Linked DNA regions of Struthio camelus. The protein of the gene in region 4 interacts with the protein of the main gene of each other region in a pairwise test. Links are inferred from orthologs where the notes say so. Each region holds a gene or a part of one and is shown on either strand. Other genes may lie near its edges. The genes, in order: PRKAA2, CRACR2A, LMO2 and TLE5.

Region 1 (7,806 bases), on a different chromosome or scaffold from region 4:
AATGAGTGCAGAGGTTCCAGGTACCAAACTGAAACCCTTCGAAAAGTGGGGTATCTGCTCCAGGCGCTTGTGTAGGAGCCCTTCTGCCGGCTCCGCACCAGGGACAGGAGCCAGCACTGCTGCAAGCAGCACCCAGCTCCGTCTGGGCACAGACCCAAGTCCTCAGCATCCTGCTCCTTGGCCCTGCGTCACCTAGAAAGTCCCTTGCCCACTGCCTGGAGGGCGTTTGGTGCCCGAGAACAGCACCAGCAAAACTCGAGCGCACGCCAGAACGGAGCGAGCCTCCGCCAGAGCTGCTGGCACTCCCACGGTTCCCATCCGCCGAAGGGAGAGCGCATCTGCGAGCACCCCACATCCTAAAGGTGCGGTCTAATTGCTCCCCAGTGCAGGAGAGTTTCCCTCTCCTGCTGCGTTGGGACTTGCCCAGAAGCTCAGCTCCGGCAGGACCGAGAAATCACACCCCTACTCAGCATCACGAAACGAGGGCAGAGAGCAAGCCCTGCACAGGAGGCATTTCACATGCGTGAGGCTTTGTAGCTCTGTCCCAAACACACTGAGACATACATATATCCCGCTGCTTCAGCAAGGGATTTGTCCAAGAGTGGAGGGAAAAAAATAATTATAAAATAAATAAATAAAAGCCCAAGGGATTGCAAAGAAATTGCAGCTCAGATACACTCTTTAACTGGGATGCTCCTAGGAGGCATGGTTACATTAGCATTTAATTAACAGCACCCAGCTTGCATTTGATTTCTATTTTAAACAAGCTGCAACACCACCAGGCACGGACGGATCATTCACCGAGATGAAGGCAAGCAAGGGGAAGAGATTTCTATCCTGCTTCGCAGTCAAATGACATTTCATTTGATCTACACCAAAAATAAAAATGCTGCTTCGCCAGACACTGGAGTCTGCATCTCCTAGCAACACTTCTCCCACCTCACACGTTTTACTCGAGACCCTTCATCTCGTGCCTGTTGCCGTGCTGCTAGCAACACACCTCCCTTCCCCACTGGGGCACGAGATATATCTACATATGTATCTATACAGTCGCACACACAAATACAACCTTAAACACACAAAATATAGCCTTTAAATTAAAAAAAAATTGATTGCACAATCTTAATTCAACATTTCTATTAAACAACTTCTGTGTGCATAATGGATTACTGAGTAACAAGGTAAAGAAGTAGCTGGTGCGTACCAAGGAAGCTCCTCGCTGCTGGGCTTTGACCAGGTTGTATCAGCCTGGTTACTCAGGCTATACTCTAGTATAGAGTGTGTTTTCCAGCAGTGTAAAAAATGCTAAGGAAGGGTTAAGGTATATATATGAGCGTGTTTCGCAGACAAATGACACTGCAGATGTGGGGACTGCGCTGTATTAACTGCACACAGCGTACGGCTGCATTAACTGGTAGGTGGGGAATGGGTTGCAGAAATGCTCATGATGCACCATGAGGCACGTCCGTGGGGTGATTTAGTCACCAGCTTTTAGGCAATGAGCAAGGGGTAACATAGCACATTTACATACAGCAGCTCCGTTCAAATATAAAAGGAGGTCAAGAAATACCATGTGAGACCTCACCTATTTGTTGCGGTGCTCCACTAGGGCAAAGCCAGGGCTTGCCAAGGCTGGAAGCAAACAGATCGGACAAGCCGCACGGACTCCTGTGCGCAAAGACAGGAAAGAGCTGCTGGAGGCTTTTGCAAGGTGCAGACTTGCACAGACCCATACTTACCCAGGTGCCTAAAGACGACAGCATTTTCATAGGCTTTGCAGGAGACAGTAAGCTTTAGACAAGAAAACACTAATGTTATTTTTAAGTGCTGTTTCTCTTATGCTTTATTGTAGGTCTATCACTCTGATTAAACAGATGTGGTTTCATTACAGTACATATGGTTTTGTATTATATCAGCTTTCTTGTTTCTACTCTGCCACTGTTATTTGTATTATTGGATCTGTTGAATTAAATCATCTTCTGATTATTTACCATGGTATAGCTGCATAGGCTCGTCATTATTTTATCAGGTATCTTTTGTTTATACAGCTTCCCATTCTGACTTCCCAAATATCTCCTCGCTGTTTCACAGTGTGGATTGCCTTCGCGCCTGCCTTCTGCTATTTCTTGTGACTGAATGAGAAAGTTTAATATTGAAGAAATCGGAATTAGCACTATTAAAACAATACTACTCTCCAAATAGGTTTAAAAGACTAGTGTTCAAACATGCTGCGTGGTTAGGATGAGCATGCATGTTTTTCAACACGATCTGTTTGTGCGGCCCAGGCAAAGTTCATATGCCCTGTTTAGAAGATTATGGAGAATGTCCAGATTTGCTTAATCAACTTTCTGGACTTTCATCTGAAAATGTCAAGCAGACGATTGCTTGGAGGAGAAACAGGTTTGAGCTCCTACACAAACAGTTAAACCCCTCACCCAGCACAGCTCCCTGGTGCTGGTGCTTCAGGTTGAGCCCTGCAACCTTACACCCTCTGAGCAGGGGAACGGCTCCAATTTGCTCCGGCCCGGAGATCCAGAGCCCCTGCTCGGCCTTTGCCGATGGCCTGCCTGCCCCAGCACCAGGGATGTGACACCAGCTGTGGCCTCATGCCAGCCCCTTATGCCGAAAGCTCCTGTGCCGGCTGCTTGCCAAGCTCTGGTGCTGCGGAGCATGGCGAGAGTTTTCTTTTCTGGGTTGCAGTTGTCTTGATGAGTGAAAAGGAGGAAACGTTCATTAGAGAGGAGAGTTGGGATCACTAAGCGGGTGTTCGCTTCACATATTTTTTTTCCAGACTACATTTCTAACAAGGTAGAAATTCTAGAGAGAAAAGGTAGCCTGCCTAGAGCAGCTGTGTTATTATTTAATGTATAGCATTACCCTATCTGACTGCAGGCTGTCGCAGGGCTGAACGATAAAGAATGGATAACGCTGGTATTAGGACGAGCTGTTAGCTCACGGGAACATTTGTTACGTCTGCCCCGAGCAACTCGCAGCATGTGTCTACAGTAAGGTTTAAGTGCAAGGTTGGAACGAGGCTCCCGGTCGGCCTCACTTACTGCACGTGGGTCCACAATACGGCGTGGGTTTGGAGTTCCCCAGCCAGAGTCCTCCCCCAGAAGCCTGAGTGAGAAACACGGGGCAGTCCCGAAGGGGCATGCGGGCGCCAAGCCCGGCTACAGCCACTTGGAGTAGAGCCCCCGACCAGCCCCTCACACCAACCACTTCCCTTGGAGACCTGCCCCTGCCGGAGTGCCTGGGAAGAGGGAGGTGAGGGGAAGGAGAAAACCAGAATGGGCTTCCCAGTCAAGATGAGGAGAAGAAGGGCTCCAGGAAGGACCTGGGGGTGGTCAGAAGGTAATTTCAGAGTGGGGAAGAATGCAAAGATGCAACTAATGAGAAACAGCTGACATGAACAGAACATAACGGCGGAGGAGAAGAAAAGCAAAAAGGGAGACAGAGAAGGTGGTGACCCAAAGGCCAGCTTTGGTGTCCGTGTAGGGGAGCTGCGAAGAGGGAAGCGCTGTGAGCAGGTATAGATGGTTTCAGCTGGCCGCACCAGCTATCAATGTATCGATGTGTCCTTCCCCTTGAACCTGTTTTGCTCCTTTATGTTAATATAGTTTTGACCAACAAGAAAGCTCCTGTGTCTGCTTTGCCAAGCGAGTACCACTTATTGACCACCACCACGCAATGCAACGCCTGACAGCTGCCCGGGGTGGTAGTGCTACCACCAACCCAAACGCAGCCGGTCCCAGCCACGCTCGTGTGAACACACTCACGTGTGCTCAAGCTCCGCTGCTTGCAGACAGGTGAAAGGCAGCATGGAGACATCCACAGGTCCATCGTCCTGCCTCAATGCGGCAGGGTCCCGAGACCTGGCACCACCACTGCTCTGCACTCAGCACCACGCTGCCATCCAACTGCTCCAACGCTGAATTTTGCCAGCCTGCCCAGTCCTGCCACCACGTGTCCAGTGTCCCTCATCCCATCACCATCCCCATTATTGCGCTGTGACCAGCCCTGTCCACCCTCCCACCTCATCTCCCGCCAGAACTGGGGCTGGGCCCCACAGGGCAGGAGCTGCACCATGCCCCCACCCCACGACATCCCTCCTAGGTGGGCAGGCTCTCCAGCCCTAAGGCCCCATCCCGAACCCTGGGCAGGTGCACCCCAAGGAGCATGTCACCCTCAGGGGTGTGTCACTCCCAGGAGGGTGTCACCCCAGGCAGATGCACCCCAAGGAGCATGTCACCCTCAGGGGTGTGTCACTCCCAGGAGGGTGTCACCCCAGGCAGATACACCCCAAGGAGCATGTCACCCTCAGGGGTGTGTCACTCCCAGGAGGGTGCCACCCCAGGCAGATACACCCCAAGCTCGCTACCATCCCCAGCTGGGTGTGCCTTTAGGAGGGATCGTCCCAAGCAGGGTGCACCAGAAGGAGGACACAGCCCTAGGAGAGCATCACCCTGGCTGTCACTCCCAGGAGGGTGTCACCCTGGGCAGGTGCACCCCAAGCTGGCCGCCACCCAGAGCCAGGTGTGCCCTAAGGAGGGACCATCCCACGGAGAGCGCACGGTACGGAGGGCATCCCCCCCACCCCTCCGGGAGGAGAGCATCACCCCCAAGGCAGGTGTCACTCCCGGAAGGGTGTCACCCCCGGTAGATGTCACCCCCCACGGCAGGTGCCCCCCGAGGAGGCCGCCGCCGCCCCCCACCGTGGCCTCGCGGCGCCCCGCTGCGCCCGCCCCGCCGCCGCCGCCGCGCCGCACCGCGCCCGGCCGGCCCTGTGCATTGTGGTCCGGCCGCGGGGGGCGAACATGGCCGAGAAGCAGAAGCACGACGGGCGGGTGAAGATCGGCCACTACGTGCTGGGCGACACCCTGGGGGTCGGCACCTTCGGCAAAGTCAAGAGCTGAGTACCGCGGCCGCGGTGGGCAGGGCGGGCGGCGCGGCGCGGGGAGGGGGGGGGAGCGCTGGCTCCGCGCCCCCTCCGCGGCTCCCCCCCCCCCGCCCTCTTTCCCCGCTCCCCTCCCCGGGGGCCGCTCCGCGCACGCACCCGCGGGCCCGGCTCCTCCGCCGCCGCCTGCCGGCGCGGTGCGCGGCCCCGCTCCGCGCCTCGGCGCGGCCTGCGCGCGCGGCTCTCCGGGGCGGCGGGCGCAGCGCGGAGCGCGCTCGGCGGCCGCGGCCCGGCCCGGCCCGGCCCGTCCCGCGGGGCGCGCAGCATCCCGCGGGGCACGGAGCATCCCGCGGGGCGCGCAGCCCCTCGGCCGCGGGGGCTCGTGGCACGCGCCGAGCGCAGGACGCTTCTGCCGGGGCAGACGGGGTGCGGGGCTCGCGGGCGGCACCCGCGCTCTCCCTCGAGCGGCCGGACGGTCCCTGCGAGCTGCTGCCCTCCTCGTCCCCCCGAGCGCCTGCCTCACACCCCTGCAAACTTTCCTTCTTCGCGGCAGGGTGATGGACGCAAAGGATGAGCGGCAGCGCGCGCCTCGGGCAGGAGCCCGCGCGTCCCCATCCCTCTGGGGCCGCTCTGCTGGTTTTGGGAAAGGGGGGACAAGCGCTTCGCAGCCGGGCGGGTGGCAGGAACCGGGAGCAGAAGGGGTTTCTTCTGCTGTCGCGGTACCTCTCGCCCTGGGAAGCCAACAGCCTTGCTGGGAGCGCGGGAAGCCACTCTCACGGGGCAGGGGGAGACAAGGCCTGAGGCAGGAGCGGTGGAGAACTTGGGTCAGGCTTCATTCACACACAGGGTTTCCCGCGTGGTTCACGCCAGCAAGGAGACAACTCTCATTTTCACGTAAAGCACCAGCTTTACTTTACCTGACTGGAAGATTTGCAAAGATTTGTATTTCTTTTTCTATTTAATTCTGTTGCATGCAACTGTTACCTTTGAACCAAGTTAAAAAAATCAAAGATACTGTACAAAACTTGCATCTAAGCAAAACAAAGAGCTGTGACTGATGATTTAGGTACGGCTGGCAGAGCAGCTACCACCCTCCGCTGTGCACCCTGCCCTGCTGCTGGAGTTACCGGCGGCATCCTGTGGCTGGTCAAACGGGTGATGTGCACACGCTCAGGGACTGCGGCATTAAAATAAACCAAAACTGACAGCAGGGGAGAGGAGCCACCTCCACCACTGGAGCTAAATCCACCCGTGACCATTAATCAGACCCCTAAAAATATATTACTCTGTTTCATCTAAACCCACAAATCCACTGCCTAAAGAATTATCAGAATAAATACTTCTAACAGTGAGGACCATGTAAATCACTCATGTGTACGAGCAGAGCTCCAAAAGTGCTCCAAAGGCAATTTTTTCCCCCTACAGAACAAGTTAAGCCTGCCAACAGTAGCCTTTTCTCTTAGCTACCTTTCTCAACTAGCTAGCATGAACACCACGCACACGCTGTATATAGCCCGATTTTTGTAAAACCTGACAGTTTCCAAAGAGACATTTAAAATAAAGGAGATTTCCTAACTCAAAATCAGTTATGGTTAAGTGGTACCCTATACACATATATATTCTTTTCCTCAGCATGTTGCCTGTAACATCAGTCTGCGTTTGACAGACGAAATTTGGACTTGAGACTGGAAACTTAGATGAAGAAACTAGATCTGCTGTTTATATGGCATTATAGCATCTTAATCAAAACAGCATTAGAATACCCTGAATTCATCCTGTTTAGCAGGAAACGTGAAACAAAACAAAGAGATTCTGCCTGTTGGATTTTTTAACTATGGAGGGAGATGCCATCAGTTACTTTTTTTTTTTTTTTGCTGCTGTTTTTTCTTCAAACTCTGGCTCGCACTAGACTTTGTGAGAAGCAGGGTTTCCTGCCTCACCCTCCAAAGTTAAGAAATCATAAATTAGATTACAGTCATTAAGGAAAAAGAAAATGGCATTAGAAGCAGGGAGGAAGGGGGTTGTGAAATTGCTGTACTAACCACAGCTTGAATTTGTGGCTGTAGCTGAGTAGTCACTTGAAGCCATCAGAAACCAGAGCTGCTACAGAAAAAGTCATTGCGACCCTCTTGCAGGGGGAGACCACGCAAGTGCTGGCGCTGGCACATGCAAGGCGAGGAGAGCAAAGCACCTGGTAGATGAGAGCAGGATTTTGGAGATTAACTTGCAGGAAATAAAATTCAGGTGGCTGTAAGGGAATTCTCTTGGCTTTTACATTGAGTGAAGCATGGAAGGAAGAGGGTGGTACCTCACTCGTTAGCATGGTGAGATTAAGAACGGATGAGATAAATTGCTCCTGTGTTTTCCTTAGGCATATCCCACCCCATTGCTCTCCCTGCGACCACAGAGGTTGCACGATGGAGTTCATGGTGGTTGCTGCTTTGAGAGTTTCAATCAAAATACAGCTGAGTAATGCAAATATTTTTTCATGTGGTATCACGCATGAAGTCCTGGGTGGCCACTTGGTGGTTTCTGTCCCCACGCTTGCTGGTCACCAAGGTGATCAATTTTGTGGTCCCTCAAGGGCCTATATTTCTTTGGTGATATGTGTGCGTTGGTTATTATTTTGGTACCTTTGGGCTTGAGCAGGGTCAGATCCCCTTTTCCAAGGCACTATATAATTGCTACTGACGGACAACCAGGGATAATAAATTTAAAGAGACCAAACAGATGAAGGGAAGGATGATATAAGGTTTAAGCAAATGGCAGTGGGACAGAATTAATACAGCTTTGCTAAATATATGCTTTCCCTTGATTTCATGTTTAACTTAGGGCTACGATAAGGGCTGGAATAGGCAGCTGATTGATAGGAAAAAAGTTCTCGCCCTGCGCCCTCAAACTTGTATATT
Region 2 (7,443 bases), on a different chromosome or scaffold from region 4:
TCCCTCAGCACTCATGGGTGTATTCCATTGGGGCCCATGGATTTATGGATGTCAAGTTTAGACAAAAGATCTCTAACCTGATCCTCCTCCACCAAGGGAGAGTCTTCCTTTCTCCAGACTTTGTCTCATCTCCAGGATCTGGAATTCCTGAGGACTGGCCTTAGCAGTAAATACCAAAGCAAAGAAGGCATTCAGTATCTCTGCTTTCTCTGTGTCCTTTGTTATTAGGGCACCCACCCCATTCAGCAGCAGGCCAACATTTTCCCTAGTCTTCCTTTTGCTATTGATGTATTTGAAGAAGCCCTTCTTGTTGTCCTCTCGACATCCCTTGCCAGGCTTAATTCCAAATGGGCCTTAGCCTTCCTTGTCGCAGCCCTGCACACTCTGACAACGTCCCTGTATTCCTCCCAAGTGGCCTGTCCCCTTTGCCACATTCTGTACACTTCCTTCTTCTGCTGGAGTTTTGCCAGGAGCTCCTTGCTCAGCCATGCAGGTCTCCTGCCCGCTTTGCTCGACTTCTTCCTCAGAGGGATGCACCCATCTTGAGCCTGGAGGAGGGTGATGCTTGAATATTAACCAGCTCTCCTGGACCCCTCTTCCTTCTAGGGCCCTACCCCACGAGATTCCCCTAAGTAGGTCCCTCAAGAGGCCAAAGTTAGCGCTCCTGAAGTCCAGCGTTGCAATCCTACTCATTGCCTTGCTCCCTCCTCGCAGGATCCTGAACTCCACCATCTCACGGTCACCGCAGCCAAGGCTGCCCCCAACCTTCACCTCTCCAACTAGACCTTCTTTGTTTGTTAGTACAAGGGCTAGCGTTGCACCCCTCCTCGTTGGCGTCTCCACCACCCGGGTCAAGAAGTTATCCTGAATGCTCTGCAGGAACCTCTTTGACTGCTTGTGCCTAGCTGTGCTGTCTTCCCAGCAGATGTCAGGGTCGTTGAAGTCTCCCATGAGAACTTAGGGCCTGCAATCGTGAGGCTACTTCCAGCTGTCGGAAGAAGGCCTCATTGACAACTTTCTCCTGGTCAGGTGGCCTGTAGTAAACCCCCACCACTGTGTCACCCATGTTAGCCTGCCTTTTAAGCCTTACCCATAGGCTCTCAACTTGCTCTCCATCCACCCCGAGGCAGAGCTCCACACATTCCAGTTGCTCCCTCACATAAAGAGCAACTCCACCACCTCGCCTTCCTGGCCTGTCTTGCCTAAAAAGCACGTAGCCATCCAGGACAGCATCCCAGTCCCGTGAACTATCCCACCATGTCTCTGTAACTGCAACGAGATCATGGCCCTGTGACCGCACACAGATCTCTAGCTCTTCCTGCTTATTCCCCATGCTGCGCGCATTGGTGTACAGGCATTTCAGAGAATTAATCAAGCACGCAAGCTTCCCAGGAGAGGTGCAAGAGGAGCCTCCATAGCCATGTTCCAGGCCGCCTCCCCTGGCTGTATGCACCCGCTGGAGGCATCCTGACTCAAGCGGTGTTTTACCGACTCCCCTGCCACTATACCACTCCCCTTCCCCCATCTTGCCTAGTTTAAAGCCCTCCTTACCAGGCTGGCCAACCTGTTGGCAAAGACGCGTGTGCCCCGCTTGGTAAGCTGGATCCCATCGCTCCCCATCAGCTGTTGATCTTCAAACAGGGTCCCATGGTCATAGAAACCAAAACCCTGCTGGCAACACCACAGGCGCAGCCAGTTGTTGACTTGGAAAATCCATCTACTCCTCCTCCCATCCTTCCCCCTCACAGGCAAGATTGAGGAGAAAATGACCTGGGCTCCCAGACCCTTCACCACCATTCCCAGAGCTCTGAAATCCTGTCTGATGGCTTCCAGTTTGCCCTTGGTGTCATTAGTGTCCACATGGAAGATCAGCAGAGGGTAGTAGTCTGATGCATGGACAAGCCTTGGCAGTCTTTCCATGACAGCTCTTGTTCGAGCCCCTGGCAGGCAGCAAACCTCTCTGGACAAGAGGTCAGGTCGACAGATAGGTGCCTCTGTCCCCTGCAGCAGGCAGTCTCCCACAGCAATCACTCGCCGCTTCTTCCGGGGGTTCCTGCACGACACAGGGTCTGCCAGGCCCGTTGCCTCCCTCAGAGCCATGCCCAGCTCCTCCTCAGCGTGGGGGGGGGGGGGGGGGGCGCTAAACTTGTTCTTCAAGGATAACTCTTGAGGAGGAGCAAGAGCCTTTCCCCTTCTACGAGAGGTCACCAGCTTCCAGCCCTCCTCAACAGCGTTATGATGTACCGATGACTCCTGGAGCTGCACAGTCTCCGAGAATACCCTGTCAATCTCTTGCTCATCTTCTCAGATGCTACACAGCCTACTGACTTCCTCCCATAACTCCTTTACCTGGCAGTACAACTGATCAACCACAGTACACCTCGCGCACGAGAGCTGGCTGTCAGCTCAGGCCTTATAGAAAGACCCTAGGTACTCCCTGCAGCCTGACACCTGTCAGAGGGTCTGTCTGGGTTGAAGCCTCAGACACGGGTGATGTAGCAACTCCAACAGCCACTGGGGAATGTGCTCTGCGGCGTCATGACCATACTTGAGGAAGCACACACTACTACAAGAAATGAAGGTGCCTTCTTTGCCTTCTGACATCCTCTGCGCAAACTGCTGCCTCTGTTGGCTGCACTCCAGGAGCTGCACTTTAGGCCTGGCTCTTATATAGGCCTCTGCCTAGCAGTGACTCACAAGGGTGCTTGACCCACCCAATCAGGAGCCACCTGAAACAAAAGCCCCAACTCCCTCTGACCAGGGCAGCCCAGAGAGCTCGTTAGCAGCAGCCACACCTACCTAGAGCTTCCCAGGAGAAGTTAAGGCCCCCTGCAGGAGTCCTTGCCTAGCTCTCCCTTCCTGCTAGCAGCAAGCACCGTCTAGTTCCTCGGGAGTCCCCAGAAAGTCTCCACAACTTCCAGCAAGGCCCACAAAAGGCCCAGGCAGAGCCCAGACACTGCTGCGCAAACTGCTGCGTCTGTTCGCTGCCTCTGTTAGCTGCGCTCAAAGAACCTCAAAAAATTCCTTGACACTCGTGCCTGTTCCTCTCCACGGAAATTTTTAGTAAAAGGTGAAAGATTTACACGATCTGAAGAGAAAACAGAATATGGTTGAAACATGTTGATTCATGCGTCTGCTGGTTTTCTTTTTTAGTTTGGTCAATAACTTGTCCATTATGGTGTTTTACAGGTTAGTAGTTAACCATATCCATCATCTTCCACTCCTTTTGCACTGTACTGATTTAGCCAACAGTTCAATATTTTCATATTTAAATTCCTTTGGAACACTTGGGTGTTTGTGATATGTTACAATTCGTTGTATTATGTTCTAAAGCCTCCCCTACCAATGCTTCAGTCCCAAGACTGTTCTTCATACTTAATAAAGAAAAGGACGTTATCTGATCTTCCATACTGAACATCAATTTATCTAGCTTTTCCGGCTTTGGCCATAACTTTGCCTTATTTCTATCATCTACTTGCCCCACAGATTCTGTCAGCAGGCTTGTGCTTCTGGTTTGTTTGATAATGTTTTTGCTGTTAACTGGAGTGTTCCTAAGCTACTCTCCAAAATCTTAATTGTCCTTATGATTTTACTTGCTGATTTATGCTTCCCCCCCCCCCCCCATTTTTCTTATTTTTAAACAACTGCTTTCTGAAGAGCTTTTTACTTCTGATAGCTTTCTTTATACTGCTATGTAATCATGTATAATTTTGGGAGGCAGATGGTTTTGGAGGCAGGCTGTTTCATAGCCCTTTATGGCTGAGCAGATGTTATATATATAATGATTAAATGTATTATATTATGTTATATACTTATAAACATCTTTATGCCACCTGCTATTGTACTGCTATTTCGGCTGTCCCTTTTAATTTCCTTCTAAGTATTTCTTGGTTCATGAAGATGCTCATTTTGAAGTCAAACACAAATGGGTGAATTGCTGTAGCAAATATGCTGAATTGGAATGTATCATGACGACAATACCTTAAGAGCTCTTCTGCAGATGTGACATCTGCAGTGATGAGAACTAAATCAAGTTTTTTTCTCTTCTTTTAGGGGGCTTCTCAGAGAATCTGCTCCCAGATGCAGACATTTACACACCCTAGTGTGACATTTTTCAAAATGTACTTTAGGCTACTTGAAATCTCTAATCAACTGGATGTGAAATCAATTCTGTCTTTTGTTGTTCTTCCTCATGGGCAACTGGACTTGGGACAGTTTGAGAAGCTGGCCCATTTCCATCAGCTGCATCGTAAGATCTTGCGTGGATGAGCTGTCCCACACTCCTCGAAACCCCTCTGTTTTGTGTAATTTATGTTACATGGAGATGACAAGACCACATACTTCCCCCAGAAAGCCATTGTGCACTTAGTCCTGGCTGCAGGTGCAGCCAGGGATGGCAGCGCCTGGTGGAGTTCCCCCGGCTCTCCAATGTGACCCAGCAGTGGTTCCGGGTCGGCCCTTCCGAGCCGGAGGTGAGAGGGGCCCTGCGCTGCGGCAGCCCGCAGGGGCGCTTGGCGCCACGCGACACCGAGCTCCAATGCTGCTCAGCGCTGCCAGGCAGATGGGGGAGGCCGGCTCACCCCGGTCCCGCCCCCGCAGCACGGCCCGCCCGTGGTTGATGGTGCCACCCGCGCCCCAGAAAAGTTTAGGAAGTTGTTTTGACCTTCCTCTGCTCTTACTTCCACACTAGCTGAGGCGCATGCAGGGGAAGGCCGACCACACCGGCCAGCCAGCAGGGATCGTATTGTACCTCTGCCTGGGCACTTGCAGGGAGCAGCAGGAGGTGAGTTGGGGCCAGGAATGTCCGGGGAGGAGACAGGAGGAGAAGATGGTGCAAAGCCAGATCCTTCTGGCAGAGCTGCTGGCAGATCCTTCTAGCTGAGCTGCTGGCGGAAACGCACCCCTGGCATCTGCTTTGCCCTTCCCTTCGGATTCAGGGTGTCTCAATAACACCCTGCTCTTTCTCTGTGCTGTGCCTGTTGTGAGTTTTGCTTCCTGCGCAGGGCTGTCTGCGAGAGGACAACGCCTTGCAGGCTTGGTGGGTCCAGGCAGGAATCAGCAGCATCTCACAAATGATAGCAGTTATCACTGCCTTTCCTGTGCCAAAGTGCCAAGCAACATCTCTGCCCCTTCTCCTGGGAGTGGTGGCTGCTTTTACAGCATGGGTGGGAGGTGTGTGGCAGGAGGTAGCCTAGAAAAGCTGGGAGAGGAGGCCAAGTACCCCCAGCTGCTCACTCAGCAAGCAGCTGCTGCTCTGGCTGCAGTGCAGCTGTAGTGAGGCAGCAATTCTTCAGCTGCTGTGAGTGTTGCACACAGCACCTGTAGCCCTTGACCCTTCTTGTTAATCCTAAACTTACTCTTTGGCTGGAAGGCACCAGGTTAGAGTCACAGTGTTGCAAAACAGGAGACTGCATTTCCCAGTATGCCCTGCTTCCCTTCTCTGCATAGTAGTTATACCAACACTGTGGCAAAACAGGGTAAGAAACTTACATTCAGAAAGTTATCAAAGTATGCTAAAATGTGAAATGTTGTGGTTCCTTCTACATAAAGAACATTATTAAGGTGGTACCCAAGAGCGCTGTAACTGATATTCATTGTAGTGCTACTGCTACAGTCCTCATGTAGCTTTACACTGTGGCCAAATGAACAGTGTTACAGTGAAATCAGTTCTGTCCTGGTTACTTTTAGAGCTGTCTAGCTGGTTTCCAGTGTACACTTCCTGCATTGTGGATGGTGACTGCCTTCATGGTGGGGGACAGACCCACCAAACGCTCACTGAAGCCAAAAGCAATGCTGTTGCTGATAGTTACAAAGATGACGCTTGTATTCTCTTAGAGTAATTTGCCACCAGTCAAACTAAATTTGATTTAGTTTTCTGTCTTTTTTGATACTGAACATTTTTGATGATTCTAAATGATAGTTATAAAGGAACTTTTTGTTGCCAAGATACTATTATGCTTCTTAATATATGTGAGCAGTATAACAGATTTTGACCACAAATAATGAAACTTGGGTACTGCTGCAGTTGGGGAATGGTCTAATCCCTCTGAAATTCAGCATTTTAATCTTTAGCAATTCTTTCTTCCAAAGTTACACACTCTGACTAATTTAAAATACTTTTCTACTTTCTTTTTGCAACTTGGTGTTTTTCAACCACAGTTTCCAGGTTAGTTTCACTTTTCCTTTTAGCTGGGTTGTATGAATTATTCTGGTGTATTGGTAAAAGTTTATCAGTTGTCTGTGGGATGTCCTAAGCACTCAGATATCTGGTCCGCAGACTTCTCTTGGAACTTCAGTGTTGTTCAACTTGAGAAGATAACCATTACACCCCAAAGAGTGAAAATTAAATGTCAGTCTTCTCTGCACTAAATACAACTTACTAACACAAAACACAGTTTACTAACATGAAAAAAAAAAAGAGTCAGTATTTCAAGTACAAGGACCAGATGCATTTCTGGCCACTGATTAAGTAGCAAAAGAAATTTAGGGCAGTAATAGTTAACAGTCTCCTAATGTGGAGGATTAGTCTCCTGATCTATGGAGATTTAAATTCATTGCAGATGAAATGAAGGAGATGATATACTTCGTTCTGTTTGAGACAGTTCTCCTCCCCCTTTTCCTCCTATGTTGTGGTGAGCTGGAAAAGAGCTGTAAAGAAAGAAGCAGAAGTTAATGCACTAGACAGCATTACTATGCAAGCTTTTCGTGTGGTTTCCTCAGCCCACAGGATTTATATGGTGCTTATTGCAGATCTCTCACTCCATCCTCCTGTTTTTGTTCACTGACAAATGGTATGTTCTCATGATTTTGCAGATGACTAAATGGTGGCCATTTGGAGGGGTAAAGAATATGGTACTCTGCCCAGATTCCCCTCTACGTTCTTTGCTAATTTGCAGAATAAATATGTAAGACTGTATAAATCGACATATAAGGAGGGAGTTAGGGTTTTTCAGATTTTTTTTTTCTTATTAAAAAGGCAGATTTAATCAGTTTAAGTTAAACCTGAAGTAACAGCATAATAGATTCCACCATTCATGACTCATCCATGCAGAAACAGCAGCACACCTGCGTGGAGAAACTGACTGAAACTCAGTTAAAGACTTTGGAGCTCTCTCCAGACATAGATCTGTCCAGATCAGGCCTAGAGTTTCCAGTCTACACAGCAAATGTTTTACATCAGACCATCAGTCTGGTGATCCATTGCCAATAGCGTATCCTCTCAGAGAGACCTGCTGAAAGTAATTTTTTTTCCCCAGTTTTTCTAAAGTCAAGCAAAGGAACTAGGCAAAAATGTCAAACAGTGACAAAATCGTAATTTCCCTGTTGGCTTTTTCATTGTGCCATACAAGGCACAGTGAGAGACAGGCACACTGAGAACCAGGTTACGCTCACTTGGAGCTTTGGGGCTGAAGTGAGTTGGATACATGTACCAGCTCAGATTAT
Region 3 (7,799 bases), on a different chromosome or scaffold from region 4:
TTATGTGAAAGTCTGAACTTCACAATCCTAGGGCAAACCTCACCCTAAGTGTGGTTTTTATTGTTCTGGTTTGTTTCTTTCCAGTTCAAAGGAAAGGTTAACCCCAAAAAAGAGAAGTGCATCCTTAGTCAGGAGTCTTTAAGTCCTCTAAATCATGCCTTACTGAGAGCCTCCAGAGACATTAAGGTTAGTGCCTATGGTCTTCACTCCAGGAAAACTCCCTGTCCTTGCTATCACCACTTCTATCCCCAGGAAAGTTAAAAAGAATGCTAGCAGGGAGCTCCTAGTACAACTAGGAAAAAGATGTAGTCTTGCATATGAAAAAGCAGCGCTCGTGGAGAGAACACATGTAACATAACTTCTTGCCTAAAAAAGAGTTTTCCATGCCCATGAAAAAGCAAAAAATGTATTTTTATTGTATTATGTGTTGCCTTTCACTTCTGCAATGCACTGCTGCTGCAACATGGCAGCAATATGATTTGCTATTGATCCAGCATTGATTCTCCAGTCAAATGTCCTCAGCAGTAGCTGACTGATATTTCTCCTCAAGTATTCTGTATTCTTTAATAGGGACCAGACATGAACAAACATAATTGCTTCAGAGCCTCCCAACTTGTTTTAGAGTATCAAAATGGTGTTCAAAAAACCCAAAGAAAAAACAACTTTACATTTCTTTGGAACGTCAACCAAAGACCTCATTATGCCAAAGCTTCAGCTCAGCTTGTGGTGAGAAGGAGGAAGAATTCTTCCATTTTGCAAATAGGTAAACTGAGGAATCAAATGGAGCAGTGACTTTTTGAACATCATATGGTAGATCAAAGTGGCAAAACAGAGCCAAGATTACAGAGGTCATTATCTCTCTTTCGTCCCCACCTCTCATATTAATCATTAGACTCTAGCCATGGTCTTGACTTTTCTACCCCATAGCAAGTACTAACAGAAAATCTAGACCACAGTCATTGAGATTTAATTCTTGTGTCTGTGCAGAGACTTAAATCTTCATCAGCTGCATTTTAGGCAACAAACATTACTGACTATTGAGGGCAGCAAAGTTAATCTTACTATTCTCAGACTTCTCCAAATGCGAGTGAGCTGAAATAGTTCAATAGTTCAATACCGACATCCATCAGCTCTAGGGGAAATAAAGCTAGGATATACTAAAGATGAAATAAGGGCAGGAACAACCGGAGACTGAGCACAAGAGGGAATCCTGGGACCTCAAATGAGCAGAGTTCCAAAACAAAGGTGAAAACATTCAGCAGTTTCAAGAGGGGATGTTTCTTTGGAAAGAGGCACATTTAGTTATTTGTTTCAATGACATCACTCCTAGAAACAATGCAGGTTTACATAAAATAGTCTTACTGAGAAATATACAGAAAAGTCTAGTCAAATTATTCACAACATTTTATTGCAAGCACTGAAAGCTAAATGCAAACAATAACACTGGATTTGATATTAGTAATGCTCCAAGAATTTGCCTATAGTATGATCTACATTCATAAAAGTTAATTGAAATCAACATTCATCCCTCAGTCTGTCAATGAATATAAAAAGCTGCACTAAATAGAACTGGAAAACACAGCCTCGCAGAGAAAGGGACAATGGAAAGAAAATCCCCCACTAAAAATAGTACTAGTCTTTTTGTCCCTATGCAGGAAATGTAGGCACCACAAATACTAAAACTGAATAATGTTTTGTCTTTATGAGCCTAATTCTGCGGGAGGCAAAAGTAAATCAACCACAGATTCTGTTGAGGGAAGTAAACATTTACAGATGGGAAAATTGAGGCACAGAGGTACTAAGGGACTCTCCCAAGTTGAAAAAAAGAAGCCACTCTTGATTACTGGTCACCTGTTCTGGTGGAACACAAGACTCCTCTGGTGAAGATGCCAAGTTTCACTGCCCAGAGCGAGGGTCTATTATATATAAACCTAATAAAAGAAAATTTGAATTGTCCCAGAAAATAATACATTTTCCTTCCCCAAAAGATGTTGGAAAAAACAGTTCCTAGGTTAGAATGCAGAGAACCTTCTTGGTGGGCTTTCTACTGTTAGTGCACTTGGAGCTGCCAATAAATACCACCACAGAAAGTTTGAAGAAAAGGTGCTTACAGAAATTCCATTCAGGCGAAAAACCAACAACAGTTTGGTACATACCCATCAGTAGAGGACACTGCTTCCTGGCAGTTTCTGTTTATCTTCTGCCACACTGATGCTTGCAAAGCAAGCTTTTGGTTTAGTTTGAAATTCCACCTGATGCATGGAGCCAAGTGTTACCTTGCGTCTTTGCTGTGCAGTTTGTTCAAGGTACCATGACAACTTTACAGCTCATGCAGTATTTCCTGATTACTGTTTGTTTAAGCAGATTGAGTTCAAGCACTCTCCCAATAAGCACAGTGGAGCAACACATTTATTATGTTATGTACCAGCAAATTGACTACTTTTTCACTTTTCCTAGTTCTTCTCACACTACTTTGCCTAGCATCTCTCCTTTATAGGAAAGAAAGAAAACAACGAATAATCTTGGGGTCATCACTACACATCTTTTCAGACAAGCAGAGAAGTGGTATCTCTCGGAAGCATGCAGAGATATCAGCACTATCAAAAGTAGTATCCACCTGAAGAACTGACTTTCCTTAGGAAGTTTGTTCTGGATCTGAAAGCCTCAGCCAAGCTCTGCACCTGACTGAAAGGATGACAAAATATGAGCAAATAGTGCTCTTCAGCTCCTTTATTTACACACTATTCCATTGTTTTAGGTAGAAAAGCTTCCTTCAGTTAAGGGATTGATCTTGCAAGGCATGAAGCATTCTTGCCCTGTCCAGCAAAGCACGTAAACATGCACTCAACTTTGAGTATATGAAATATCTCATTAGCTTCAGTGAGGTTATCTGCCAGACCTCAGTGAGCCTGATCAAATCGAGGAATATAGGTGTTGCAAAAGATTGAAAAATTACATATTCCAGTAATCACTGGCCACTTTATCTTTTACCTCCTTGGTTTTAGGTTGTTTTTCTAAGGAAGAAAGTAATTCCTTATGTGTCAATGTCTACGTGTCTATCCCTCACCAAAACTTTTGAACCAGTTGGTCTCTTTTAGATAGACAGAGTGACAGAAGTCTTAAAGATATTAATTTCCTGCAAATTTGAGGAAAATAAGTAGAAGGGAGAGACTGCAATTAGCCTGCCAATGTGACTCGGAGTTTATACCTTATTAGACCTTAAGACACAGCCAGGAGACACCAAGCTCACAGAACTGTCTTTCTTTTTTAAGTGTTTGAAGTCTTTATACAAGTTTTTGGTCCCCCATTAAATTCAATTTCTGATCTCTTTAAACCTTCTTAATAAAGTTCCCCGTGGTTAAATATTTCTAACAAAGAAGCTTTTTCCTTTAACAAAAACATTTGGTTATAAGTGTGACTGCCATACTGTAATAGCTTAAAATACAGTGGCGATAACTTTTTTAAAATATAAGAATCTCCTTTATCTTTTTTATATATCTTTTTATTGACCTTCTTTATCTTTTCTGTTTTATTTATCTTTTTTTTAAAGAATAAGAAATCTTTCTTAAAGGATACAAATTCTTTTTTGAAGAATAAGTGTTCTAATGACCAGTGATGGCTCTGAAGAATTGTGAGAGCTTGGTTAAAAGCCCCCTGAAATGAGTAACAGTTCTGCTGACATCACTAGTCTTTGAATCAGGCTCATTAATGTATTTCAGATATTATATCCCTAGCTGCCAAAAAAAGCTGAAAAAATGAGAATCTAGTCATAAAAACAGACATCAAATATATTTCCGATCTGGGAATTAATATAGAAGGTAAGTATTTCTACTGCTATTCACTAGTGCTTTATTACAGATCTTTCTTACTGTATCTAAAAGAATTAACAGGGCAGGCAATTCATCTCATCCAGTATTTTGCCGCCAGCTATGGCCAGTATCTAATGCCACAGAGAATGGAAAAAAGCTATAATTGCTGTAATAGTGTTCACTCTAGCACTGTAAATCAGTCCTTTCCGGGATGTGCTGTGCTGACGGAGAGGAGGGGGGAGGAAGGCTAGGAGGGGAAATAGAGATGTTCAAGCAAGACTTTCCCATCTTTAGCTTCTCTGTGATTAATTACAGATCAATACTTTGTACTCTCGAGCTTTTACAGCTCATTACCATCAAACAGCATCAAGATATAAATTTGTTATATGACTTACCAAGAACTAGGTGGGGACACCTAGGAGTAGACACCCATAAATGTTCACTATAGAGTAAGAAATGAGACAGGTACAGTTTAGCTGGCCCATTTGAATCCTAGGTAGAAAATAATACTTAGCTTCTTACCTAGTGTCTTTATGCATAGATCTCAAATACTGTACAAAAGCATGAGTGCGTGTGGGTATGTGCATAGGTAAGAGAAGGAGAGGAAGAGAAGAGAGACCACGACGCTAGTGCTTTGGTAATGTGTGGAGCTAAGAGGCCAATAAAGATGGAGCCAGACATTTGAATTTTTTAAGCCCTTCGGATCATTTTCAGGTTACACGACTATCCGGGCACCCCCGGTTTACTGATAAAGTATTCCTAAATTAGAGCGTACTGTGAAAATGCAAAGTCAGCTCCCAGCCCTAGCTCTGGGGAGACGAGCTCTGTCTCTTTAAGAAACCGACTGAGTCGTGATGCTGCTGTTTGTATTGCTAAATCCCCCGGAGTCCAGTTAAGAAATGGGCAGCTGTCTCTTTAAGTGCGATTTCCTTCTATTGTATTTGAATCGTGATCAGGAAAAAGGAAATGAAACCAGAGACTCGGGGCTGAGCTAGAGTAATAATAATGATGCTGGTCTCCACGTTCGCAGCCGATGCGCCCCTCTCCCGAGCACGTTCAGAGCTGCCCAGGCAGCGAGCCTGAGCGGAGCGCAGCGCAGCGCAGCGCAGCGGAGGGAGCCGCGGGGTAGGCAGCAGCGGCGGCCGCGGCAGGCGGCGGCCGCCGGCGGGGCCAGCCGCAGCGGCGGGAGCTGCCCGCCGCCCAGCGCGCCGCAGGAGCGGGGCAAGCATGGGAGGTTAGATCCTAAGGGTCAGCCTGGCGGAGACGCAGCCCGCAGCACGGCGGCCGCGGCGGCAGCAGCCCCAGCCCATATTTCTTTCTCTCTTTGGTGTTGCAGGAGGAAATCCTGTGAATGTCATTGGGGGGCGGAGGGGGAACTCAGCTGGTGAAAAGGCTTCAAGAGCAGACAGCCTTTGCGGGGGCAGCGGGGGCAGATCCCACCACAGGCACACTACAAAGGAGCCATCCCTGCCAATGTCATCGGCCATCGAGAGGAAAAGCCTCGATCCTTCCGAGTAAGTGGCTTCTTTTCTTTCAGCCTCCCCAGCCCTTCCCGTGCCTTTTGATCCTCCCCAGCGCTGAGGCGCGCTCGGCAGGGACTTTACGAGCTCCCTCACCACCGTCATTGTGTGTGTCAGCCCCGGCGAGCTGCTTGGGGCGTCCCTTCCCGGCGGCGGGCAAGGGGGCTCGGAAGCACAGCAGCCCGCCGCTCTTTGCCCCGGCTTGCAGGCGCCCCGCGGGAGGGAAGCCGCGCCGCGCCGGCCGCCAGCCGCGGGCGGCAGCCCCGCCTAACAGCCCCGGGCGGCAGCCGGCGCCGCAGCCCCCGGTGGCAGCTCCAGCCCGGGCCCGGGGCGGGCGGCGGCGGCCGGGCTGCCCGAGCCGCCGGCGCCTCCGCGGGCTGCGGGTGCGGCCGGCGGCCCCGGCCCCACGTTGAGTTGATCGGAGCCCCCAAGTTCTGGGAAATACCCGCTGGGAGCAACCTCCGGGCGCAATCCCGCACGGGGCAGGGCATTTTCCGCCCGGTCTCGGGATGCAGGGCTGCGGGGAACGACTGGGGGAGACGGAGGGCATAATGCTTTCCAGAGCTTAACTTGTCTTCATTTTGAGCCTCGCTCTCTGCCCCATGTTTGATCTGTCCAACTCGCTGTAGCTGATTACAGCGAAAGGTCGGAGCTGTTATCTGATGGGTGCCCAACTTCCACATTTTCATGATGCGAGGCACTTTGCAACTTTCAAGAGCTTGTACGAACTGCTTTGGTGGGGGCAGGGTGTTCTGCAAAGGCACTGGCCATGTACAAAGACTTGATTGACGGGAAGGATGCAGAAGATGAGAATTTTCCTCCCTATTTTTCACATTCATGGCAGGGACTGACTCCCACATTATGACCCTCTTTTTCAATCTGTGTTCAGCAGCCGTCCCATCCCTTCCGAATCCAAGCACATGCAGTCACCATACTTGCAAGAGGCACGTTCACTCAGAGTACCACCACGTCACTTCAGCGCTGTACATTTGAATAACTGCAGTTACAGATGTCTAGCATCATGATAAGAGAGAAGAAAAACATTGTAAAATCCCCATTTTCAGATAAGGCTTAAAACATTACTCTTAGTGAACTTTAGTCATTTCCGATTTGTTTCACTTGGGCCCTTCCCTTGAAGCCACAAGTGAACACATGAAGTGTTTCTTATGTGGATTAAATCAGTTCATGCCATGTCACATTTGATGTTTTGCATTTGTTACATTTTTTATTTCATATTGTTTTTAAGAAATGATCATCCTAACTTCCCAGGTATATGGCATCCAGGTTTGAACTACAAAAGTTTTAGCCGTATTTATTTATTTACCTACTTTGTGTTCTATTGACTAAGTACTGGCTTTACAATGTATGAACATCAAAATGCTAATGCTTAAAACAGAAATTCTGTTCCGCGTAAACATCCGTCAGGCTGTTCCGGACTTTAGGGCATTCAGAGACTGGCTAGTGATTCCTGAACCATCTATAAGATTAAAGATTTTGGGGTACATCTGAAGCTTCAAATAAAGGATAATAATGTCTATTCCTTTACAGTTGCATGTTCTATTGGAAGGCTCTCAGAGCTTGTCCGTGGGTAGCCCACACATTAGGAAGGGAAGCATGTGGAATAAACTTTGAAAAAGTGGGGCCTGATCACTTACCATGATTCTAAGAGCAGACAGCCTACAATTTTAATGCAAACGCACGGTACAGAGAGCTAGAAGGGTGGGATATTATAAGAAAACTTTTAGGGCACAGCAGTTTAAACTTTGGAGAGTGAAAAACAGAATGGGATATAATCAGATAATATCTTAGAGCTCAGCTTGTCTAAATAGAAACTGCAGGATCAGTTTCTCAGCATGGAAGTTTTCAACTGCTGGTCATTTCTGCATGCTGAAGAAAGTAATTTTTGCCTAGAAAACTGCTGACCCAGTAAATAAGCTTTGACAACAGTCTACATAAACCCACTTGAAGCAGTAGTAAAATAATTTTTCCTATGGCCTGCTGGAAACTCGGTGTAGCCTGATTCTTTTCTGTTGGTGTAGTTGCACTCTGCCCTCACCAGCCTGAAGGAGGACAGAACAGCGACAGAAACAAAGCATTGACAGACAGTGTGCGACAGCAAGAACTGAACAATGTCTTAAACAATTTGGGGCTACATCTGCCAGTCATTGAGCTCCTTGGTCAAGATCCAGCAAAGCAGACAAGCATAAATGTACAAACAAGTGACTTCCTTGTCACTAGCCACAGGTTTAAAATTAAGCAAGTGCTTAAAGGATTGATCCAATAGTCTTTTTATTAACTTCCCTGGGGTTTGGATGAGGCCCTCAGTGGCAGTGTCAGGTCATTGCAAACCTTGCAGAACTGAGCTCAGATGCTTTCCTTTAATTTTTGCTGATCTTTTTTGGCAGAAGCTATAACATTACACGAAGAGGCAAGGAAGAGAGCTCCTTAAGAAAGTTGATTTGAAGAAAAT
Region 4 (7,099 bases):
AGCGGGATATCATATCTGAATAATTTACAAAGGCTCTTCATTAAACGGATTTATTTTCAGCAGCTTGGTTAGGCTGTTCCCTTCAGGAGCGACGGGGAAGTTGCTCAGCCTGGTTTGGACGTTGTCGCGCAATCGCTCCTGCCGGCCACGCCGGGAACAGCGCAGGGCCCAGGGGGCCCGGCCGGACCCCACTGCTGGCCGAGGGGGGCGGTGTGGGAGGGACCGGCCCCGCAGCCTCCCGGCACTGCCGTCCCCGCAGCAGACAAAAACACCGGGGAGCTGCTGCCGGCTCCCGGAGCGCCCTGGAAAACCTCCGCTCCCGGAGCCCGGGCTGCCGTGGGCTCTGGGAATCCCCCGGCGAGGGCCTGCTTTTGGGCTGCTCGGGGCCAGGCTTTCCCGGGGCCGAGTCCACCCCTGCCGACGTGCGGACCCATCGCTTGGGTGAGATTATAATTCCCCCCTTTGAGATGCAGATTCCTCAGCCTGCTGGTAACGGAGCCTATTAAAATGTCACTTACGAGGCACAAGCAGGTTTGTGTTCCCCTGGATTGAGATTTGCCAAGATTATGCCATAAATTAGCGTGTTTCCTGGAAGAAAGCAAGGAGAGAAAAAACATAAAGTGGAACATTTTGTAGCCAACATAAAAGCCCATAAAGGAACGTTTCATTTTCCTCTTGGAAGGGAGCAACTGCAAGCAGCTCTGAACCCGCCCGGGGTGGACGGGCAGCGGGGCTGCGTGATGGGGACGCAGGGTGGCGGGTCCCGTGGGGACGGCGTGGCTCGGGGGTGCGGGGTGCCCGGTCCCGTCACCCGTCCCCCCCCACGGTCACGGCCCCCGGCCCTTGCCCAGGGCTGGGTCGGAGCCGCTGCCGGGTGCAGGCAGCATCGCAGGGGCAGCGCTGCCATGCTGGAGCAAAGCTTCGCGCTGACGGCCCAGCACCGTGGAAGAGTTCTTCTGCCTCATCTTTTGGGAAGTTTAATCTGCTCTTATAATGATTATTGTTGCTCGTGGAAGTTCGTAAACTGCAGGAGGAGCCTGGTCCCATTTCCATCAAGGACAAACACCTCGCGGCGCTGGCAGCACCATCCCTGGGGAAACATCTGCTCTTTCAGGTTGTTTTGTGGCAGCTTTGCTGCTTTATCTCAGCTGGAAAAAATTCCACTCCTGTTGAAAAAGGAACTGTAAGGTCTGCAGGAGCACTTGCCGCACAGGAAGGAGCAGGGGAGAGGCAAGACGAGGGCTGCGGCTCGCAGCTGGGGGGTGCGTGCGTAGCCCAGGCTGGTCGGGCAGGACAGTGGCCCGGGAGGCCTCACCCTGCCGTGCGTCTCCGCCTGCATCGCTACCAAACCTGCAGCGTCCCGGGGGCGAAAGTGGAGGGAGCAGCCACCTGCGACACGGCACGGCACGGTGCGACACAGCACGGCACGGTGTGACACGGCACGGCACGGTGCGACACGGCACAGCACGGTGTGACACGGCACGGCACGGCACGGTGTGACACGGCACGGCACGGCACGGTGCGACACAGCACGGCACGGTGTGACACGGCACGGCACGGCACGGTGTGACACGGCACGGCACGGTGCGACACGGCACGGCACAGTGTGACACGGCACGGCACGGTGCAACACGGCACGGCACGGCACAGTGCAACGGCACACAGCACGGTGTGGCCCGACACGGCACAGCACCATCCCTCAGCGCCTCCCACGGGCAAACAGTCTGCCAAACGGGAAAAACAGCCCTGCCTCGCAGTGAGGGGCCACCTCCTCCTGCGCGCACGCTCGATGGGTGGCACGGGGTAGCCGACGTCACGGCCCAGGCCTCGGCCCGCCGCGGCGATAGAAGAGGTCTGCTCTTCCGAACTTGCAGCCCACGGGAGCAGCAAGGAGGGCCTGCGCCAAAGGGGGTTTATTAAAGGGAGCAAGTTAGAACAAGATGGGAGCCGCGCCGCCCCGGCTGCCGACGCGCGGTTTGGACCACGGCGCTTGCACGCTGCACGGCCTCTTGGCGCTTAACTTACTCGCCGACGCGGTAGCTATAAAACAGCCGAGGGGAAGCAGGGCTCCGTCGAGGGGCCGCCGCGGCCCCGGCCGAGCCCCCGCGCGGCGCCCCGGCTTCGCAGGGGGCCGGGACCCCCGCTTCGCCGCCCCCGGGCTGCGGAGGCGCCGGGCCCGCCTGCGCCGCTGACAGTCCTCGGCGCGGAGCTGTCACCGCTGCCTCCAGCACGGAGACGGCGAAGGAAAAAAGCCACCGCGCCGCACGCAGGAGGTGTCACAATAACTCGGCTGCTATATTGTTCTCTTTAAAAATAAACACCGCCACAGCCCAGCCCGCGTCGCTGGAGTCATGACGTCCGGGCTTTTATTTTTAATCAGAAAGCGTGCTGATTTTTAAAGCTAGAGGCAGAGCAGCCTCTGAAGGTGGCGAGAGCTCCCCGCGCGCTCCGGCACACGAGCTCCCTCCTGCCCGCGGCCGCCGGTGGGTCCCGGCCCCGGTCCCGGCCCCGGCGCGCCGAGCAGGACGGAGCCGGGGGAACCGCCGGCAGCACCCGCGGCGGCGCCGGCTCGGCCGTGAAGCCTCGGCACGCGGCGAGCTCGGCCGGACCGGAGCCCTCGGAGCGCTCGCGCCGGCGGGCTGCACCCTGGCCGGCCCCGGCAGGAGGCACGGCCGAAAGAAAGCAAAAGGAAAACCCTGCGCAAACAAGCCCTGCTCTCCCACTCGGAGGGCGCGAACGCGGGCCAGGCGCGATGGTGCCGCCCCAGGCCCGCGGCTGGGACCGGCGCGAAGCCGAGGCGGCTGCAGGGCCTCCTCCCTCCGGCGCCCGTTTCCCCGCGCGACCGGGGAGCCGCGAGAACCGGCGCTGCTGCGCGGGCTGGGGCCCTTCCGGCCCAGGCGCTGCAGGAGGCGGGAAGTTTTGGTGCGCAGCAAAAGCTGGCGCTGCCCCGAGCACCCACACCGGCTGGCGGGACCCCAGCCCTGGCGGGACCCCCAGCTCCAGGGGACCCCAGTGCCAGCGGGACCCCCAGCTCCAGGGGACCCCAGTGCCAGTGGGACCCCCACCCCAGCAGGACCCCCAGCCCCAGTGGACCCCCAACTCCAGGGGACCCCAGCCCCAGTGGGACCCCAGCCCTGGAGGAGACCCCAGCCCCAGCGGGACCCCAGCCCCAGCAGGACCCCCAGCCCCAGGGGACCCCCAGCTCCAGGGGACCCCAGTGCCAGTGGGACCCCCACCCCAGCAGGACCCCCACCCCAGCAGGACCCCCAGCCCCAGGGGACCCCCAGCTCCAGGGGACCCCAGCCCCAGTGGGACCCCCACCCCAGCAGGACCCCCAGCCCCAGTGGACCCCCAGCTCCAGGGGACCCCAGCCCCAGCGGGACCCCAGCCCCAGCAGGACCCCCAGCCCCAGTGGACCCCCAGCTCCAGGGGACCCCAGTGCCAGCGGGACCCCCACCCCAGCAGGACCCCCAGCCCCAGCGGGACCCCCAGCCCCAGGGGATCCCAGCCCCGGGGCAGAGCCGGGCACCGCCAGCGGCCTCCGCGGGGCCTGGAGCTCGGGGCCGCCAAGGCCGGCGCCGCTCCCACGTGCCCTGCTCGGGGCTCGGGGCTGCCGGGGCCGGGGCTGAGGCCGGGGCCGGGCAGGGCAGGGCCGGGGCCGGGGCCGGGGCTGAGGCCGGGGCCGGGGCTCGGGGCTGCTGGGGCTCGGGCTGGGGCTTGGGGCTGCCAGGGCCGGGCAGGGCCGGGGCCGGGGCTCGGGGCTGCAGGGGCGGGGGCCGCCGGGGCCGGGGCCGGGGCCGGGGCTCGGGGCTGCTGGGGCCGGCGCGGCGGGGGCGGGCGCGGCGGGGGCGGGGGCGGCTCTGGGCCCGCCCGGCCCGGGGAGGCGGCGGCGGCGGCAGGTGGTGCCGAGCAGCCGCAGGACGGAGCCGGAGCCGGAGCCGGAGCCGGAGCAGCAGCCGCCATTAGACAATAGGCGCCGGCGGCGGGAGCGGCGCGGGCGAGCGGGCGGCCGGGGCGGGGCGGCCGCGGGGGCGGGGCGGCCGGGCCCGGCGCGGACAAAGGCGGCGGCGGCGGCCCAGGCCCAGGGCGCCGCGGCGGCGGCGGCAGCGGGCGGGCGGGCGGCGGCGGCGGCGGCGGCGGCAGCAGCAGCGGGCCGCTCCGTGCGGGGCCGAGCCGCAGCCTGACATGATGTTTCCACAAAGCCGGCACTCGGTACGGCGGGGCCGGGCCCGGCCGGGGGGTCTGGGGGGTCTGGGGGCGGCGCAGGGCCCGTGAAGGACGGCGGGGGGCCGGGGGTGGTGGGGGGGCTGGGGGCCGAGGGGCAGAGCTGTTGTGAGGGGGGGCTGGGGGTCCGGGGGGTGCTGGGGTCCGGGGGGGGCAGAGCTGCTGGGGGGTGCTGGGGTCCGGGGGGGGCAGAGCTGCCGGGGGGTGCTGGGGGTCCGGGGGGTGCTGGGGGTCCGGGGGGTGCTGGGGTCTGGGGGGTGCTGGGGTCCGGGGGGGGCAGAGCTGCTGGGGGGTGCTGGGGGTCCGGGGGTGCTGGGGTCCGGGGGGGGGCAGAGCTGCTGGGGGGTGCTGGGGGTCCGGGGGGTGCTGGGGGTCCGGGGGGTGCTGGGGGTCCGGGGGGGCAGAGCTGTTGTGAGGGGTGCTGGAGGTCCGGGGGGTGCTGGGGTCCGGGGGGTGCTGGGGTCCGGGGGGTGCTGGGGTCCGGGGGGTGCTGGGGGTCCGGGGGGGCAGAGCTGCCGGGGGGTGCTGGAGGTCCGGGGGGTGCTGGGGTCCGGGGGGGGGCAGAGCTGCTGGGGGGTGCTGGGGGTCCGGGGGGGCAGAGCTGCCGGGGGGGGGGGGGGCTGGGGGTCCGAGGGGACGGTGGAGCCCCGAGGGCGGTTCTGGCGAGCCGGGGCGCGGGCCAGGGCGCCCCGGGGGTGACGCGCGCCGTGTCCCAGCGGCTGCCTCTGCGCCTCCATGTTCTGGCGGAGCGGCTGCAGCGCTCCCGGCCCCGGCATCCCGCGCTCGCTCGGGGGCTCTTGCTGCAACGTCTCTCCCCCCCGCGGTGCTGGCAGGAGCCCTCGTTGCCTCCCGATCTGACTGGCTGACTGCCTCCTCGCCGCAGCGAGGAGCGAGCGGGAGGCTTTGCGGGGGGTCTCCTCCCCCTTCCCGAGCCCTGGCCCCCCATCCCTCCGCCAGGGCGTTCCGCACAGTCCTGGCTCCCGTTCGCGCGTGGGGTGTTTGTTGTTTGCAGAGATGCCCTGGTTACTGTCTCTGTGCAGTTGTTAAGGAAGGCGGCGGGTGGCTTTGTGGTTAGAGCCCTGGGACTTGTTCCCAGCTGAGGGAGAGGACAGCTTGGGGGGATGAGATGCGAGCAAGAGATGTGGGTCCCAGCCCCAGGAGGAGCTTCCTCCCGCTTCCGTTTCCCTGTCTGTAGTGCAAGGTGACTGTGGAGATAAAACCTGGAAAAGGGACCCTGGCCAAACTTCTGCGTCCGAGTTCCCACAGGTGACCTTGGGCATGTCCCCCTGGCCTGACCATGCTGTTTCCCCAGGAGGGCCCTTGGGGGTGTCACCTCCTTCTCTGTCTCCTCGTGGCAGCTTCCGTCCTGCTTTTAAAATGATCTGTGCTCCTGGTTAGATGTACCGCTGAAAAAGCAAATCTGTGCTTTAGTGTCTGTGGGATGCGTGGTGGGATCAGGCCAGCACAGGCACCTCTAGGTAGCTGAGAAGGAAACTGTGCTCGTGGGAAGGAGCATGTGTTGGCTTCCCTTCCCACCCCTGCATTTGCTCAGTGCCCAGCGCTCTTTCATGTGTTGTTCAAGGGCTCCTCTCACCTGCCACAACAGCTGAAGTTCACAACCTCTGACTCCTGCGACCGGATCAAAGATGAGTTCCAGCTCCTGCAGGCCCAGTATCACAGGTGGGTGCTCCTGTGTGTCACAGGTCCCAGTGTCCTCCACACTTTTGTCTTGGGACAGGGAACTCTGAGCATTGCTCTCCATAGAGCTAAGAACCATTAGAAGCGCCCACGGGTGCCTGTACCCTGGGTAGTGCCGTCCTGGGCGCTGGTTGGTGGGATATACCCTGCAGGAACTTGATGACCTGTGTCAGGTCATCAAGGACCCCCCTCCCCTCACCTTCTGGGGGGACTTTCTCCACAAGAGAGGAGGAGCTTGCTGCGCCCATCCTGGGCTCCCCAGGGACAACTGCACTGAGTGCTCAGCAGATTTACTGCTGGGCTGACAAGCAGTGGCAAGACGTAGAAGAATCACTTTGATTCTTCTGCTCCATTGCCTTGCAGTGTGGACCGAACTGGAACACTAAGGGAGGGACTTGATCGTACAGCTCGGGTCATGTTTGTCTAAAATGGGACCTCAGGGAAGGGATTAATCATGTCCGCTTAGGAGCCTAGAGAGGAGAATGTTCAATCTTCCCTCTCCAGCCAAGGACTTCCCTCTGTGTGTTGCTCAGCCAGGACTGCACAGAGGCTTGCCAGGCCTCCCATGTCTTGCTGGGAGTTTCTCCTCGGTTCTTCTCGCTGGCTGCCATTCTTGGATTACAAATGCTGCAGGGAGCACTTAAATCCAAATGCTTCCGCTTTTGTGCATGTGAGAGTGGAAATACTTCTGCTGACCTGAAAGTTGGCTTGTGATGGTTTGTTGCTTTTTGTGTGTGTGTTTATTTAAGAAACACAAAACTCTGAGCTTAAATCAACTCAGTGATGCCCTCTGTCATGGTCTAGCAGGCCTCTAGACCTGGTTGTAGCATGTGCCTCTGTGGCCACGGTGCTATGGCAGTTTGTGTAGCCCTGCTGTGCCTTTATGTACCTTTCACCTTGGCCTGGGCTCTGCCAGACAACTGGGTCATAGGTTTGTAGTCATGTCATTCTGGCAGAAGGCAATCAGAGTAACAGCTTAGAAATGGCTATTTCCTGGATTCCCTCCGCCTCTGAGCAGTGCCAGTGATGGAACAGGAAGCCTCAAGAAATATGTCCACTGGAAGGGAGGCTTTCCCCCCCGCCACCGCACTTGGACGTAATCTGCTAGAAGAGAAACAGGTTTTGTGTAGGTGAAGCTGTTTCTTGTTTGAAACATAAAACCACAGCGCATGCAGGC

What was found.
Region 1: the proteins of TLE5 (region 4) and PRKAA2 interact in binary tests that used the Homo sapiens proteins (3 or more experiments, as listed by UniProt). The two-hybrid records come from large-scale screens. The link is inferred for Struthio camelus from reciprocal best matches to the Homo sapiens genes TLE5 and PRKAA2.
Region 2: the proteins of TLE5 (region 4) and CRACR2A interact in binary tests that used the Homo sapiens proteins (3 or more experiments, as listed by UniProt). The two-hybrid records come from large-scale screens. The link is inferred for Struthio camelus from reciprocal best matches to the Homo sapiens genes TLE5 and CRACR2A.
Region 3: the proteins of TLE5 (region 4) and LMO2 interact in binary tests that used the Homo sapiens proteins (3 or more experiments, as listed by UniProt). The two-hybrid records come from large-scale screens. The link is inferred for Struthio camelus from reciprocal best matches to the Homo sapiens genes TLE5 and LMO2.

Annotation. Positions count from the first base shown.
Region 1 is NC_090949.1:33,363,471-33,371,276, forward strand, and holds the start of PRKAA2 (5'-AMP-activated protein kinase catalytic subunit alpha-2), read left to right. Parts: upstream 1-4,794; 5' UTR 4,795-4,817; coding exon 4,818-4,911; intron 4,912-6,040; exon of another isoform or gene 6,041-7,806. UniProt on the Homo sapiens protein: Catalytic subunit of AMP-activated protein kinase (AMPK), an energy sensor protein kinase that plays a key role in regulating cellular energy metabolism.
Region 2 is NC_090942.1:87,986,240-87,993,682, reverse strand, and holds the start of CRACR2A (EF-hand calcium-binding domain-containing protein 4B), read left to right. Parts: upstream 1-4,440; 5' UTR 4,441-4,783; intron 4,784-7,443.
Region 3 is NC_090946.1:33,638,164-33,645,962, reverse strand, and holds the start of LMO2 (rhombotin-2), read left to right. Parts: upstream 1-4,794; 5' UTR 4,795-5,036; coding exon 5,037-5,043; intron 5,044-5,145; coding exon 5,146-5,323; intron 5,324-7,799. UniProt on the Homo sapiens protein: Acts with TAL1/SCL to regulate red blood cell development. Also acts with LDB1 to maintain erythroid precursors in an immature state.
Region 4 is NC_090967.1:7,814,052-7,821,150, reverse strand, and holds the start of TLE5 (TLE family member 5), read left to right. Parts: upstream 1-4,083; 5' UTR 4,084-4,185; coding exon 4,186-4,212; intron 4,213-5,806; coding exon 5,807-5,904; intron 5,905-7,099. UniProt on the Homo sapiens protein: Transcriptional corepressor. Acts as a dominant repressor towards other family members. Inhibits NF-kappa-B-regulated gene expression. May be required for the initiation and maintenance of the differentiated state.